Linked DNA regions of Astyanax mexicanus. The protein of the gene in region 1 binds, or shares a complex with, the protein of each later gene. Links are inferred from orthologs where the notes say so. Each region holds a gene or a part of one and is shown in the gene's direction. Other genes may lie near its edges.

The links.
Region 2: the proteins of vegfc (region 1) and flt4 are in contact, whole or in part, in a crystal structure (PDB 4BSK), measured with the Homo sapiens proteins. The link is inferred for Astyanax mexicanus from reciprocal best matches to the Homo sapiens genes VEGFC and FLT4. Residues at the interface, in NP_005420.1 of Homo sapiens: Leu119, Asp123, Trp126, Gln130, Asn167, Arg210; in NP_891555.2 of Homo sapiens: Gln172, His199, Asp200, Ala201, Leu202, Tyr203.

Annotation. Positions count from the first base shown.
Region 1 is NC_064414.1:53,085,295-53,092,674, reverse strand, and holds the start of vegfc (vascular endothelial growth factor C), read left to right. Parts: upstream 1-4,182; 5' UTR 4,183-4,678; coding exon 4,679-4,795; intron 4,796-7,380. UniProt on the Homo sapiens protein: Growth factor active in angiogenesis, and endothelial cell growth, stimulating their proliferation and migration and also has effects on the permeability of blood vessels.
Region 2 is NC_064417.1:66,045-73,628, forward strand, and holds the start of flt4 (vascular endothelial growth factor receptor 3), read left to right. Parts: upstream 1-4,494; 5' UTR 4,495-4,745; coding exon 4,746-4,803; intron 4,804-7,584. UniProt on the Homo sapiens protein: Tyrosine-protein kinase that acts as a cell-surface receptor for VEGFC and VEGFD, and plays an essential role in adult lymphangiogenesis and in the development of the vascular network and the cardiovascular system during embryonic development.

The DNA of each region.
Region 1 (7,380 bases):
TCCGGAACCATGGTGCAACATAGAACCACAAGCAATAGACAACATAAAGTGCAGGAGTGACGACAGTGCAACATAAAATTATAAAATGATAACACTAAATAACAATAAATACAATAAATAGAAGGACGAGACAATTTAAAGACAGGACAGTGCAGTACCGATACGGTATAATAAGTGTATAGTGGGGATAAGGTGCAGAGATGTGTGACATACTGTAACATATAGAACATATATAATCACAGCAGTTACTGAGGTAGAGTTTATAGTTTTTAAGAGTGCAGCAAATAAAGTCATGTCAGCCTCTGTGTGCTGACTGGGTGTGTGTGTGTGTGAAGTTCAGTTCTTTGTGAGTGTAAAGGGGGGGGGGTGTACAGTTTAGTTTTGTGTAAAGGGGGGGGTGTACAGTTTAGTTTTGTGCGAGTGTGTTGGGTGAGTGGTGGGTGGGGTGGGGGTTCAGTTCTGTCTCTGTGTGTTGAGAAGTCTGACTGCCTGGTGGATGAAGCTGTTGCAGAGTCTAGTAGTGGAGGCTCGGATGCTCCTGTATCTTCTGCCGGACGGCATCAGAGCGAAGAGTCCGTGTGAGGGATGGGTGGGGTCGTCCACAATGCTGGTGGCTTTGCGGATGCAGCGTGTGGTGTAGATCTCAGTGATGGATAAGTTAAGGTAATGATACGAGATTAGATATATTTTGTATATATATATTTTTTTGTATTTTTAATGCTTACATGCAAACAATAGACAACATAAAGTGCAGGATTAACGACTATCCGCCGTTTACGACTATTAATTGATATTTACACGTGTGTATCACTCAGACAAAGAATTACAGTGAGTTGTAGATGAAGATGAACTGAAGGCGCACTGGTGGAAAGAAGCATATATTGGATGGGTAGCACAACTCGATGGAACACCGGTAGCACCTAGCCCCTACACGGATCTCCTTATCTACAATATTGGACACCTATAATAGTATAATAAATTATATGCTTTATTTAACAATAAGATAAACAAACAGTCTAATGAAGGCTTAAATGATAGAAGGTTAAGTCAGCACGGAGCTAAGGCGCTAACTTGGCTAGCCTAAACTACAGAACTGTAGATTTTTGGTCATTTACCTTCATAATCAAAAATAAACTGCTCGAAAAAGAACTTATATGCCTTAATGAGTTTCACTCGTTTGTTCCTTGATAGGTCCCTGACGGTTCTGGCAACATCGTCCTGCTTAAAGTGCGGAAAAAGAATAAAGAGGAATAATAAAACTCTTCATTTTTGTAGCGGTGCTTCAAACCGGAAATAGGTTTACCCATCAGCTCGTCCAGAACTTGACCCCTCTAATTGCTAACGACAGGGTTGGCATGCAGAGCCCAAATCATGCACATTACGTCACTGTCCAAATAATTATGGGCCTAAACTGTATGTGCTTAACTCACATGTAGAGTTTTCTGCCAGTCACAATAGTGCATAATAGTGCTTTAGTGTATCAGATAAGCCAAACATCCAGCATTAGCCAGGCTACCGTGATCATAAACAGTGATTTTACAGCTCGTGGTCCGACGTCACTTCTCCTCACTGCATGATATTCTGTACTGCACTGCTCTCCTGCCATGTGTCTTCTATTATCAGATGTTTTATGTAAGCTTTTCATGGAAAATTCTTCCCGGTGTTCCGCAGAGGGATACCGTTATTTGGCTGCTCAGCTACGCCAGAGGAGCAGGTGAATTACACTGATGACCGAAGTCTAAAAAACAAGCTCTCCTGCTCAATTAGGCCATTAGTCTGAGTACATAATGTGCTTGACACCGCATGGCCGCTCTTTTCCTCCAGCCGGCCTCGCGTTGACCACGGAGTTAAGAGCCTCAGACAGCTGTGAAAGAAACACTATGGTAGGAAAATCCCTCACAGCGGACCTGCATTCCTCTGCATTACAAGAGCCCTCGGTGAACTTCAGCTCTGACGGCTGAGAGACCCCCTGTAGAGAAGCGGCCCTCCAAACCAATTATTTACCCACCTCTCAGAGCTGGAGCTCCGTCCGGCTCCTCCATCCCCACCAGAGACACATCACACACACACACACACACACACACACGTCTGTCATCGGTTCGTAGCGTGAAGTTCAGCAGCGCTTGATGATGCAGAGCGTGTACTACACTTCACTTGGGGGCAGTTGAATTTTAAGAGCCTACTGTGTTGTTTTGCCTCGGTGGGAGTTGAGGTTCGTAGCGATGCTATGAACACTATAAATATGAATGCTTTATGAATGTATTATTACGTATACATTATTTTAGACTACATAATCGACTATACTTGTGAAAATAAAGGTGCTTTAATTCTTCTGTTACATTAGGCTTTAGGGAACATCAGTGACCTTTCTCGGTCAGATTGTCCTGTGTTTAACCATGTTTAACAATCCAAACATAAACATCCTATTTAGCTTAACTAATATTGTGTATAGTAAATGTTTGCACACCATACAGATTATGTTTCACCTATGATACATAAGTACGTAATCAAATAAAAAAAAAATCAGTTTTGGTGTATTTATTAAACTATAACATACGATATAACTGGTTCTTTAAACAATGCCATAGAGGAACCAGTTTTGGCTCCCTGAAGAACCACACAGGAAATTTGGCAGTGTTAAATCAACACTGTTAGTGTTAAATTAACACTGAGAGTGTAAAGTTTAACACTAATAAGTAAGTAAGTGTTGATTTAACACTAACAGTGTTGTTTTAACACTGCCAAATTTCCTGTGCATGATTTTATTCAAGATGTTTAAGTAAGAGTACATTTTAAATTAATTAAGACACATCAAGTGAAAGCTCTTTAGAGTGTTTATTTGTTTTTGGAGTGTAATTAAGAAACTGGTGTAGGGTTAAACTAACCAAAATGCCCTGTGAAGCAATTAGGTGCTCTTATCTTGACTGCTGTTTTTAACTTGCAAATTTTGCGGCTGGTAACTCTGATTAACTTATCCTGTGCAACAGAGGAAACTCTTGCTCTTCCTTTCCTGGGGTGGTCCTGATGAGGGCCAGTTTAATCATTATACAGTTTTTGATGGTCTTTTTTGCGACTGCACTTGCTATCAATACTATCAATGTCTCGAATTGACTGACCTTCTTTTCTGTACTTCTGAACTGTAGTTGTTGCTTCTCATAATATGTATTAGAACATTACTCAAATATTCACTATTCACTGTATACCTGTAACTCTACCTCTTCACTACTTTACTTTAATTGATGCTCTCAAACACATTAAAGCCCTATCAAGATGGGATTATTTTCTCAGGGGGACATGTGTTATATTTCACACTTCTACTCAGTAATAAAACTGTTATCCAGCTCGAAGTAGCTCAACACCTCCTTGCTAGAATCCATATATACATAGATTCCGCATAGCCTACCTCCTGGCGCTGCTGGCTGCTACGCTTTGTGGAGTCTATGTGTATATACAGTATATATATATATATATGTGTGTGTCTGTTATTATCAGTACAGTGATGGCAGAGTTCAGAGCTGAAGCTAGTGTTATAGGATGTAAACAAAGGTTTTTAATAAGCTTCTTGTTGAGGTGTGGGGCTACTTTGAGCTGGATAACGGTGGAAAAAGTGATTTATCAGGGAAAATTATGCCCCGTGTCACGCAATCTGAAGGGTGTTTGGACAAACTGTTAACATTTCTGTTAACATCTCGGAACGCTGTGGGAGAACAGAGGTGTGCTATTCATCAAAGTACTTGTACTTGTATCATGTTTTATCATGATATGAGAGTTCTCCTTTAACTGAAAGCCATTTCAGATTACAGACTACCTCGCTGACAGAGAAAAGTCTGAGATGTACAAAGCTATCATATATTGCAGGTTCTAATGCTTGCTCTAGTAATCTTGACCTCCACAGTTCCCCTGAACTTCCATATGTAACAACAGTGCACACTGTAAAGATATGGATGAAGTGAGATAAACTATTAACCCAAGCCAAACTTACTTTAGGCTAAACTATAGTAGAACTAGTAGAATGTATTGACTGATAATGCTGTGTACAAATACAGTGTGTGTAAAAAATCCTGTGCAAAAAAAGTCTTGTGTGTGTGTATATGTGTGTGTGTATTTGTGTGTGTATGGGGGGGTGGGGTGATGTTCAGGAGGGAGGAGGGAGGAGGAGGAGGAGGGTGCGCGTGCCTCCTCCACTCCTACTGCTCTGAGCCAGACGGCTCGCGCTGTGTGTGAAAGTTGCATCAATTCCAGTCTGAGGAGAAAAAAGAGAAGCAGAAAAAAAGAGAAGAGGAGAGGAGAGGCGGAGGGGGAGGAGAGGCAGAGCCGCAGTGTGACAGCCTGAACCCGCGCTCAACATGCCATTCAGCCCGCCGAGCACATCCAGCTCCGCCGCTGCAGCTCCAGCCGCTCCCGCGCAACTTTCCCGCGAGCGCCGCGCGTGAGAGCGATTCAAACGATTAAAAAAGTAACGGTCAGTAACGGTTTTTAACGGTCAGCGCAGCGCGCGGACGCGTTTCTGGAGCTTTCTGCTGCTAAAATACTGGATATTCTCACTGATTTCTCCTGAAAAAGAGCCGCAGACTGAGGAGAAAGAGGAGGAAGAGGAGGAGGAGGAGAAGTGTAGACCTGCTGCTGAGACAGTGGTCGGTTTCCCGTCCGGACTTTGTGAGATCTCCCGCTTTAAAAAATGAACTTTTTTGGATTAAGTGTGTTGCTCGCCTATTCGCCTTTCCTCTACACCAACCTCGCCTTCCAGTCCAGCCAAGATTACTACGATTACGACCCGGACCAAGGAGATGCCCTGGTAAGTTTCAGCTGAAGAACTAACTGCATGATCTGAAGCTCTCAGGAGGAAACCCTGTAAAGAAGCCAATGACAACATCTTTCAACGTGTGTTTTTAACCTAAACGTCATGTATCTAATGCAATGTGTAGTAAGTAGAAGGCAGGTTAAAACAGTAAACACCAGGATAAAACTAGTGTAATGTCTGATGTCAGGTTAAACTTGGTAGATAAAAGGCATGTTAATAGAGTAAAAAACATGATAAAAGTTGTTCTTTGCTCAGTCTGGTTGTAATAAATTAGTAGGGAAAAAACGTGGATGTTGGGTTTGGAGACAGTTTGGTGTAACAGGTGTGAATATTTAGGAAGCATAAGAAAAGGTCTGCGGAGGAAACCAGTGAACAAGTCAATGGCAACATCTTTCAATGTTTGTTTTCAACCAAAACTTCATATTTCAGGTTTAACTAACATGTAACACCAGGGTAAAAAGTAGTGCTTTGGTGCTCTGGTTGTACTCAGCTTGTGGCAAAATAGCTTGGACGTTGGGGTTTGGAGACTGGCTGGTTTGACAGGTGTGAATGTTAGGAAGCATAAGAAAAGGTCTGAGGAAGAAACCAAGTGAAAAAGTCAATGACAACATCTTTCAATGTTTGTCATCTTTCATGTAATACACTGTGTGGTAAGTAGTAGGCAGGTTAAATAGTAAACACCAGGATTAGCATATGTATTATATGTAATATCACTTGGTATAATAACAATAGCAACATCATTCTCTTTCACTGTTTAATCAAATAAACTACAATAATAATTATTATTATTAAATAACAAGCATTGCTTGGAATATAAATGTTATGTTAACATAGTAAAAACAATTGCAAAAGTAGTTTCTGTGCAGTCTAGTTGTGTTAAATTAGTAGGAAAAAAAGCTTGGATGTTGGGTTTGGAGACTCTTTGGTTTGACAGGTGTGAATATGAGGAATAATTTTTAGAAAAGGTCTCAGGAAAGTAGGAGTTATTAATTTAGTGTAAAATCTCTTTGACAGGTTTTAAAGAAGACTGGTGGGTTTGGCAGTTGGCATGATAACCCAAACTCATCCTCTTTTATTTTTCATTCCATTGTGCAATAATCCATAATTCAGATTAAATGTTTGCATTGTTTGGCAAGTGAACATATTAACGTGGTAATCTCCAGGATGAAAGTAGTTTTTGTGCAGTCTGGGGATATCAAATAAGTGGGAGAATAGGTTGGACATTGGGATTGCTGACTGTTTGGTTTGACAGGTGTGAATATGAGAAGGAATTATTAGAAAAAGTCTAAGGAGAAACCCAGTGAACAAGTCAATGGCAACATCTTTTAATGTCTGTTTTCAGGTTTCAGGTTGATCCAATATAATTTAATGCATGACCTGTTAAGTAGAAGGCAGGTTAGGGCAGTCAGCGCCAGGGTAATTATTTTGGAAAGAAAACTGTTTTGGGCAGTCGGGTGGTTTTACATTAGTGAGAGAAATGGCTTACACTTTGGTTTTGGAGACTGTAGGGTTTGACTGTATAATTGGGAAAGCTCTGAGGAGGAAGGCTAGTTTTTATTCCAAACCAGTTGAAGAAAAATGTCAAATGTAATGTAAAAGGAGTGTCAAGGGTTAGAGGAATGATTGGGAAATGGAAGAAAAGAAAGACCAACAAGGATTACAATGTCAGCTTGTCTTAGTACATGTGTTTCTTTGGTAAATGGAAGGCAGGTTAGAACAGTAAAATAATTATATGAGCAGTCTGGATATATTAACTTTGGTTTTAAAGAATGTTGTGTTTAAAAGATTGGAAAAGGTGTAAGAAGGAAGGTCAATGGCAGTCCCAAAAGCATTTTTTTTACTATCTAATATAATTGCATGTATTGTCTGGTAAACAGAAGACAGGCAGTCTGTTGGTATACATTCTGTGGAAAAAATGCCTTTGGCTTTGGCTTTGGAAACTATTGGGTTTGACTGGGGTGAATATGACTGCATGAGTGTTTGGAGATTTGGAGATGAGATCGGTACACATTAGGACGTTTAGCTGACTTTGGGTTTTGGTCACCAAACTGCAAAACTAAATGTTGGTATTTTATTTTAGTATGACATTAGCATGTAATGTTTAGAATACTTAAAACCAACTGTCATCACTCTTGTTAGTAAATTTGACATTTAATTTTGGTCATCCTGTGTCACAAACTACATTTGGCCAGATGACAAGATCTATCCATGCTTTTGTTTAACTACGGTGGTGTAAATTTAATGAGAAGAGGCTTTTGTTTTGGAGAGTGTTGGAAACTTGAAGGAATATGTGACTAGTTCAGTGTAGCCATTAAAGCAGATGTCATTGGGTCACAAAGTATGAGGATGTGTGTGTGTGTGTGTGTGAGTTAGGGGGATTATGAGCTGCTCAGCAGTAAAATGACAGATAATCTCAAACACGTGGCCATTTGATCATGCGATACTCTTAATTGGCTGGATTAAAGTTGCTACCAGGGTATTGTATTATATTAGAACTAAAACCCAGCCATACAAAGAGTATGAGGAGGCCAAAGTTTTTGTCCTAACCTCAATACACACACAAGTACACACACACATAC
Region 2 (7,584 bases), on another chromosome or scaffold:
AATATACAAAGTGCTTATGTATTCATACAATTATGTTTTTTATGGTTTTTGTGTGGAGTAAATTCGTACAGTGCCACTGAATTCCCCATCATTATTTTTATTTAAACATAACTAATTAAACAACTGGTACAAAACTATACATTGAATAAAACTCATAAAGCAAAATTTAGCAGCAGCAGCTAAATAATAATTAGCATTTTTGTGCTGTTCTGTTTTTCTTCTGTTCTGTTTAGAAAGTGCTGATGATCAGCTGACAATGTGCAAAGTTGTCAGTCTTATTGAGCACAGTGTGAAATGGGAGGATCACAAATTTAACACACACCTGATTCATTCAGGTAACTTCCTGTGATGTATTTTTATTGTTGGATTTCTAATAATGTTTATATAATATTTATAGTTTGGACACTGAGTGTATGAAATAATTTTTCACTCATACTTTTAATATTTAATAAAATATATGAACTGTACTTTTACTGTTATAACATTACAGTTAATGGACAAACTGATGCAGTGTGAAAATCTTTCTTTAGGCTTAGGTGTGTTTTAGCAGAAGGTGTCGGGAGTCGGACTCTGGCTGTGAGATTTATTTCTTTATTTCTATTGATCAGAAATTAATGGCATCCATATTTTCTGCAGTCGTTGGTAATGATTAGTGTCTAGTCTAATCCATTTTCACCATTATTACCTTTCAGATCACACACCCTGAACTACTGAAAGGGGTAAACATGGTTACAGGCATCATCAGTTTGTTTTTTGCTGTAAATCTCTTTTATCTAAGAGTAAAAAAAAAACTTACAGATATTTCTTTTATCTCTTTTTTCTTTCCCTCTCCTTCATTCCCAACTCAAAAGAAGACCCTGCTCAGGTTAATTGGAGGAGTCTTTAAGGTTTCCTCCAAATGGGAAATAAACTTTTTTTCTGTTCATAGAAAGTAAATATGTTGTCGTCTGCAATCTGTGAAAATGACTATATCTAATAATTGCCAATTAGGAGAGCTAGACATGCATCACTTTCAGATGGGCAGCGTTGAACAGTTTGAACAGTAGATATGTCTGAAAAACAGAATATGTTGATCTAAAATTTTTATATACTTTTCTGCATTAATGCTGTCCCCACATAAATGTACTGTGACACAACCTCATACTATAACAGATTGTAGCTTTTTGGACTTGCTGTTGATACATCTGAATGTTCCTTCTTGTCTTTAGTCTGAAACACGCAATATCCACTTCTTCCAATAAAAAATACTGATTAAACTGAACACAATAAATATTTCTATTCTTTGATGGTCAGTCTCAGGATCCTCCAAGCCTAAAGATGTTGACGACATTTCTTGGCTTGGTTTAGGTAAAGCTTGTGTTTTGGACAGTGAAGTTTAGGTGGTGTTTGTAAATGTAACTCTGGATAAATGTTTGCCAAAAGGAATTGCTTGCTTTGTTGTATCGGCTGTTGACTGGGGGTTCTTGATGCAGAGCCATCTGAGGAATCTGAGACAGAAATATGACAAACAATGAACAAACAATGAATAACAAACAGCAACCTAACCTACAAGTGTACTTAGACTTTGCATTAACACCTACGCTATTCACACACACACAGACGCACACATGGACATAAACTTGCAACTTCAATGCAGCATGTGTTGATCTATTGCAGAAGCAATAAATACAATTGAAGAAGAAATCCATTTCACCTTCTCACTAAACAAACAACTTCACTAGAGTTCACTAGAGACCTAACTGTGTTCACCTGGTCTTGGTTTAGTTGTGTGTTATTACTGTATTCACACCTACCAAAATGAATCAAATTTGTCATTTTGTAACTTACGTAAAATTATATATTTTTATGTGGCAGCAGGGAGGCCGGACTATAAAACATTTTTACAGATTTTTTTACATTGTACTTTGAAGCCTATGTCTTTTCTTATTGTTCTGTAAAATCAGTGTCCAGTTTGAGTTTCCATGTACTTTTCATTTTACCAAGAAAATGTAGCTCTAAAGCCCGAGCTAAATCTTGAAAGTAAGAGATTTCTCATTGAAGTTGAGAGTTAAATGGTCCTCTCATTGCTGATTAGACGGAAGATAGGTATAATCTGTAAAATGAAAGATTGGATGTCTGTGATCATCTGCCTCCTAATGATGGTATCGATAGCTCAGAACGTCAGACACCTATAATAAAAATAATAGTTCTTTTGGTGACCCCACTGCCTACAATTGCAATTCTTATTTGAACATGAAAACAGGAGATCACTGGGTGTGTAGGTTTTTTTTTTGTGTGGGGGCAATAAATAGCCAAGGCGTGTTATAAGGTATAAGTCAAGAGAACCTGAATGAATGCATTTAAAAATGTCCATTTAGGGGACGAAATCCTGTCTTTTAACAAGGCCCTGAAAATAAGTAAATCTGCCCAGCATATTCTGAACACTGCTTTTCAAAACAAATCATGGGCTGACTACAAGTAGTTAATTTGTGTATTCTCAGTACGTATTCCCAGTACTTGTATTCCATTACAATCCAACCCAGCAGATGGCGAAGTGTCAAATTTTTTTTCTGGGCCAGCTGTTGGTAAATGCAATTCAAGACATACAGCCAAAACTCGAGAGGTATAATGGTTGGGACCTGATGACAGTTGGGGCCAATAACAGGAATCATCTTTTTTCTGTATGACATTTGTAAGTAGAGCAGTATTTCAAGCTGAATTAAACTGTGGTTTTGTCAGCACAGCTGCTGTACATGGTCTGGGAGTTTAGTATCATGGTTGTTTTCCCAAGAGTATTTGGCTTTTCAGAGCAATATGGGATTAATATTTAGAAGTAGGCCTTTTTTAAAAGTATGTCTTGATGGAATGGAATAGTTTCCAAGAATCTGAGAAAAAACAGGAGCAGGGAAATGGAAAGAAAAGAAAGCTCTTGATTTGAAGGTTCCTTAACAAATACCCTTCTGGCAATGCTAATTGTGTCTGTCAAAGAGTCTCAGATGTATTAGATTAAGTGGCAATATTGCATTACATTTTATGACCTAAGTGTTTATAACACAGCTTTGTATAGGAGACTTTTGGAGTTCTGCTGCAGGGCAATTGTCTATTAGGCAAATGTAGCAACCATTATCTGTACAAATAGGATTTTCTTTATATATTTGTCCTTTATGGAGGTGCCAGGATACGTTCTTATTTCTGAAATGGAGGCATTTCAGATCTGTTAGAACAACATATGCAGAATAAACCACAAGACACTGATTAAGGCATGTAGCTTTAGGGGAGATAGAAATCTTAGATTTAAGAGTTTCTCACTGTGGCTAAGCAATCACTGGTCTTGAAAACAAGCTTTTTTGGTAAATGTGGGTTAAAAAGAAATACATTGATATGCATTGCTGGTTTGTTGTGGCCGTGTTTGCGGACGGTGTGTTAGTGATGTTCAAATATGAAAATATACTCCCATCTAAATTATCTAAACTGGTTAGTTTTTGCCCATGGTGGTTTGTACAAAAATATTTATCACAAAATATGAGACTATTGCGATTTAAAAATATGACTTCTACACCTCAAATGCACTGAATATCTGTAGTATTCTATGATTAAGATACATGTAGCCCTAAGTTTAGCATGGCTAATGGGATACACTGTTAAGATATAGTGTCAAGTCATTCAAGCTATAATAGAAACTTAACACATTAATTATAGTACAACAAAACGATACAAAAATATTCCTAACTTTATATGAAAAAAATATAACAAGATTTTCTGTAATACAATTCAATATTAATCCAAAACTATCCGATTCTTTGTATTGATGCATCCAATGTGCTAATATTAGGCTCATATAAAGGTTCAGTATTTAATATTTTGATATACTCTTTATCAAATTTTCAGTCCATTGGGAACATTTCAGCACTGAAATTAAAGACAGGTGTAGCTGACAATTTTTGGAGGAAAGGCTGATCTGATGGTCAGTAAAACAATCCACAAAATCGGTTTCTGACTAATCAGTCAGTCTGACTAATCAATCAAGTAAATTTGAATTGAGTTTATCAGAGAGAGTTTATCTGAGGTATTTTATTTGAGGTAGTTTATCTGAGGGAGTTTATCTGAGGCAGTTTATCTGAGGGAGTTTATCTGAGAGAGTTTATCTGAGAGAGTTTATCTGAGAGAGTTTATCTGAGGGGGGTTTTCTGAGGTAGTTTATCTGAGGGAGTTTATCAGAGAGAGTTTATCTAAGGGAGTTTATCTGAGGGAGTTTATCTGAGAGAGTTTATCTGAGGGAGTTTATCAGAGAGAGTTTATCTAAGGGAGTTTATCTGAGGGAGTTTATCTGAGGGAGTTTATCTGAGAGAGTTTATCTAAGAGAGTTTATCTGAGGAAGTTTATCTGGTGTATTTTATTTGAGGTAGTTTATCTGAGGGAGTTTATCTGATGTATTTTATTTGAGGTAGTTAATCTGAGGGAGTTTATCTGAGGGAAGTTGGTCTGAGGAGGAGACTTCTACCCTGAAGGTCCGAGTCTGAGCCGCTGCCCTCAGATCGGTTTATGCAGGAGGTGGGAGTTGAGTCCGGGAGGGAGGAAAGGGGGGAAATGATAGTAAATCCACTCAGGTCCTCTTGAATTTCGTGTTTCTGCGTGTTTTTACTCCGCTGTTTCTCCCGCTCTTCCCGCGCCGAGGAGAGAGAGGCGCGCGACACCTGAACCTGAGGAGTTTCCCGCGCCGCGCGGAGAAAACCCGCGAGTTTAAATTGAGGAGATTAAATCCGGAGATGAAGAGAGAGAGCCGGGTTTTCTGTGGGATTTGGATCGGGCTCGCCTCTTTCTCAGGTGAGAAACTTTACCTAGATAACTCTCAACACAGGCTGCAGATAACCGCTGTGTGTATGTGTGTGTGTGTGTGGTCAGTATGTTTTTTTCGCGTTTTTACTGAATTTTCTCATTAATGTTGCTTTTTTCAAGAAATAGTGAGCTTCTGTGTAAAATTCAGTAATTCAGAAATGTAGACTCTGGTCTATTTTACAGTTTTAGAGTTTAACTACAGAGATGTTTAAAAGTGGGAACCCTTTAAATATTTGCCACTTCTAAAAGTGCTGAAAGAAAACAAAGATAATAAACATTCAAAAATAAGGCAGAAATATTAGATAGAAATATTAAACTTTTAGTCAGATTATTTCTTAGGGTTGTTGTCTTGCTGCATGACCCACATTCTTAGCTCAGGTGTTCTGACTTTTTCCTTCAGAACTGGCTTTAGTCCAAATCCACTGTTACATAAATGATAAGAGGCCATCCTTGCCCAAAGACCCAATCCATAACACTACCACCACTGTGTTTCACAGATGGATAAGTTTTCTTTTTTTAAATTTTGGGATGCAGCAATTTTATATGGATGAAAATTCTCCTTTAGTTGCTTGGAAGGTACAATGGGTTAATTTATAGACAATTCATAACATTTTGTCTGATTTGTTTGATTTGGATCTTTTTACCTCATTTTAGGACTTGTTTTAAGAAAATCTGTAGAAGTTGTAGGTTAAATTATGCAAAAATATAAAACACTCAAAAAGGTCGGGCACCACTATATTCTGAATGAATCAGTAGTCAATAAGAGTATATTTCACTTAGATTTGAGTCGATTGAATCCTATTAAATTAATATTTATAAGGTGAAATTGATAAACCATTTTTTACATTAACTTGTCACTCAGAGATAAAAGTTGTCATGGACTGCAGCTTAATGCCACACAAAAAACTGATTTGGGCAGCAGTCCATCATTATTAACTAGTGCAGCATCTCAGTAGCAGTAGACAGTTTGTTGTTATTGGACACTGGTGCACTGGCCACAGTTTATGAGATGTCATTGCTAATATTAAAGGTAATTTGAGATTGAATGCAGCTCATATGCTTCCCTCCTAAGCTTAGCAAGCTGCCATACTTAACAACCAAAATCTTTGCTTGCATACTTGCGGGCATATATATTGGGAACCTAGCCATCTATGTGATGGTCCAGAGAAGAGGATGAATGAATATTTGGATCCACAGAGCATCTTCTCTGTCTATGTTTATCTTTAAATTAATCTAACAATTATGGTAACAAGCCACAAAAGCCTTTAGATGATTAAGGATAATGGAGTAGATTTCATCAGATTGTGCAGCTTTAAAGGTGAAGTAGATTGGTTAGAGCATGGCATGTTAAGCACTGTCAGGAAGGCCTACCTGAAAGTCTGCAAGTCAAGCATCCATGTCAGATCCACTTGTCAATTTGACAAGTTTTGGCAGCAGCAGTCACACTTTAATTTAAAATGCTCTTTTCAACAGAACAGCACTTGGTCTGCTAAAGTCATCAGTTACCGACAACAGGAAAACAGCCCTAATACAGCCTTTATTCACTTTTCACCTCATTAGTGACTTTATTGTTCTTTCAAGAAATTATAATTGGCTTCTGTTACATAAGGGATCACTCTGTTCAAGCTGACTTTGGGTTATATGTCAGTTCTGTTCATTATGATAATCATGCATGAGTGTTTTTAATTGCAGTATTTTCATCTGCATGATAGCCCACCTCTGTGAGGAATATGATGTCTGCCAGTCATAATATCTAGAGGACCATTTAAGATGACAAAAGCCACAGAATCTGAGGAATCAAAACATGGGAATATTCTTATAGCAAACTCAAGCATTCTGAAGGATGTGGTGCTCTAGTGTTTGGTATGGAAGGTTCATCTCAATTAATTTTGAGTAAAAATTAAGCTAAGAAAGCAGCCGTCATCACAGGTGTCAGTTAGTGAGATCCATGAGGCATCTGAGGAGAACTTGAAGTGTTGCTGAGGCGTTTTCCAGAATCCCTGCACCTTGGGTGGAGTCTTATGTGAAAATATGTCCTCCCTTAACATTTGGAATCCAGAGCCATAAAAACCCCAGATATATGTCTCTCCCTTAAACTCCATAATCTTCATCTCCACAAATAAATAACACATGGAATCTTGGTGGCGCAGGGAATTTGCCTAGGCTACCAAGATTTTCTTGTAGTGAAGACTGGGTCCAATTATTAGAAGTGGTCCCCAATTATTTAACCGAGCACTAACCTTAACTGAGGCAAAAATGGGAAAATTGCAGCTTGGAGGGACAAAAGAGATGATTGTTATTTAATCAGAAACAAAAGCCTGTTCAACAGAAAAGAGCCTAGGGCTGCAGAAGAAGTTGTCCACATTTATTGATTTCAAGTAAGCCTGAGTTGTCCTTTAATGCAATTTCCTCAAATGGGCAACATTTAGCCCCTGAGCTGGCTGATATTACATTTCTACCATTTTAGTTTTGTTTGGTTTCTAAAATCATCCTCAAAATCAAACAGCGCAGGGAACTGCTGCAATAAACATGGTAATCGAAAAAAAAAACATGTAAAAACACTCACAGCAATGAATCTCCTACATGAAAGTTGGAGTAGATATTTATCTTAAGTCTCAGAAGGAAAATCCTCCACTTGTCCCTTTCGTCGAACGGCTCACTCACTGCAATGTGTTTTATGTTACCATACTGGTGATTAAAAACAGATTGAGAGTTACTTGGTGAGGTTCCGGGGGTGCGTTTGAAGTGAGAATGTCATTATCAGGCTGA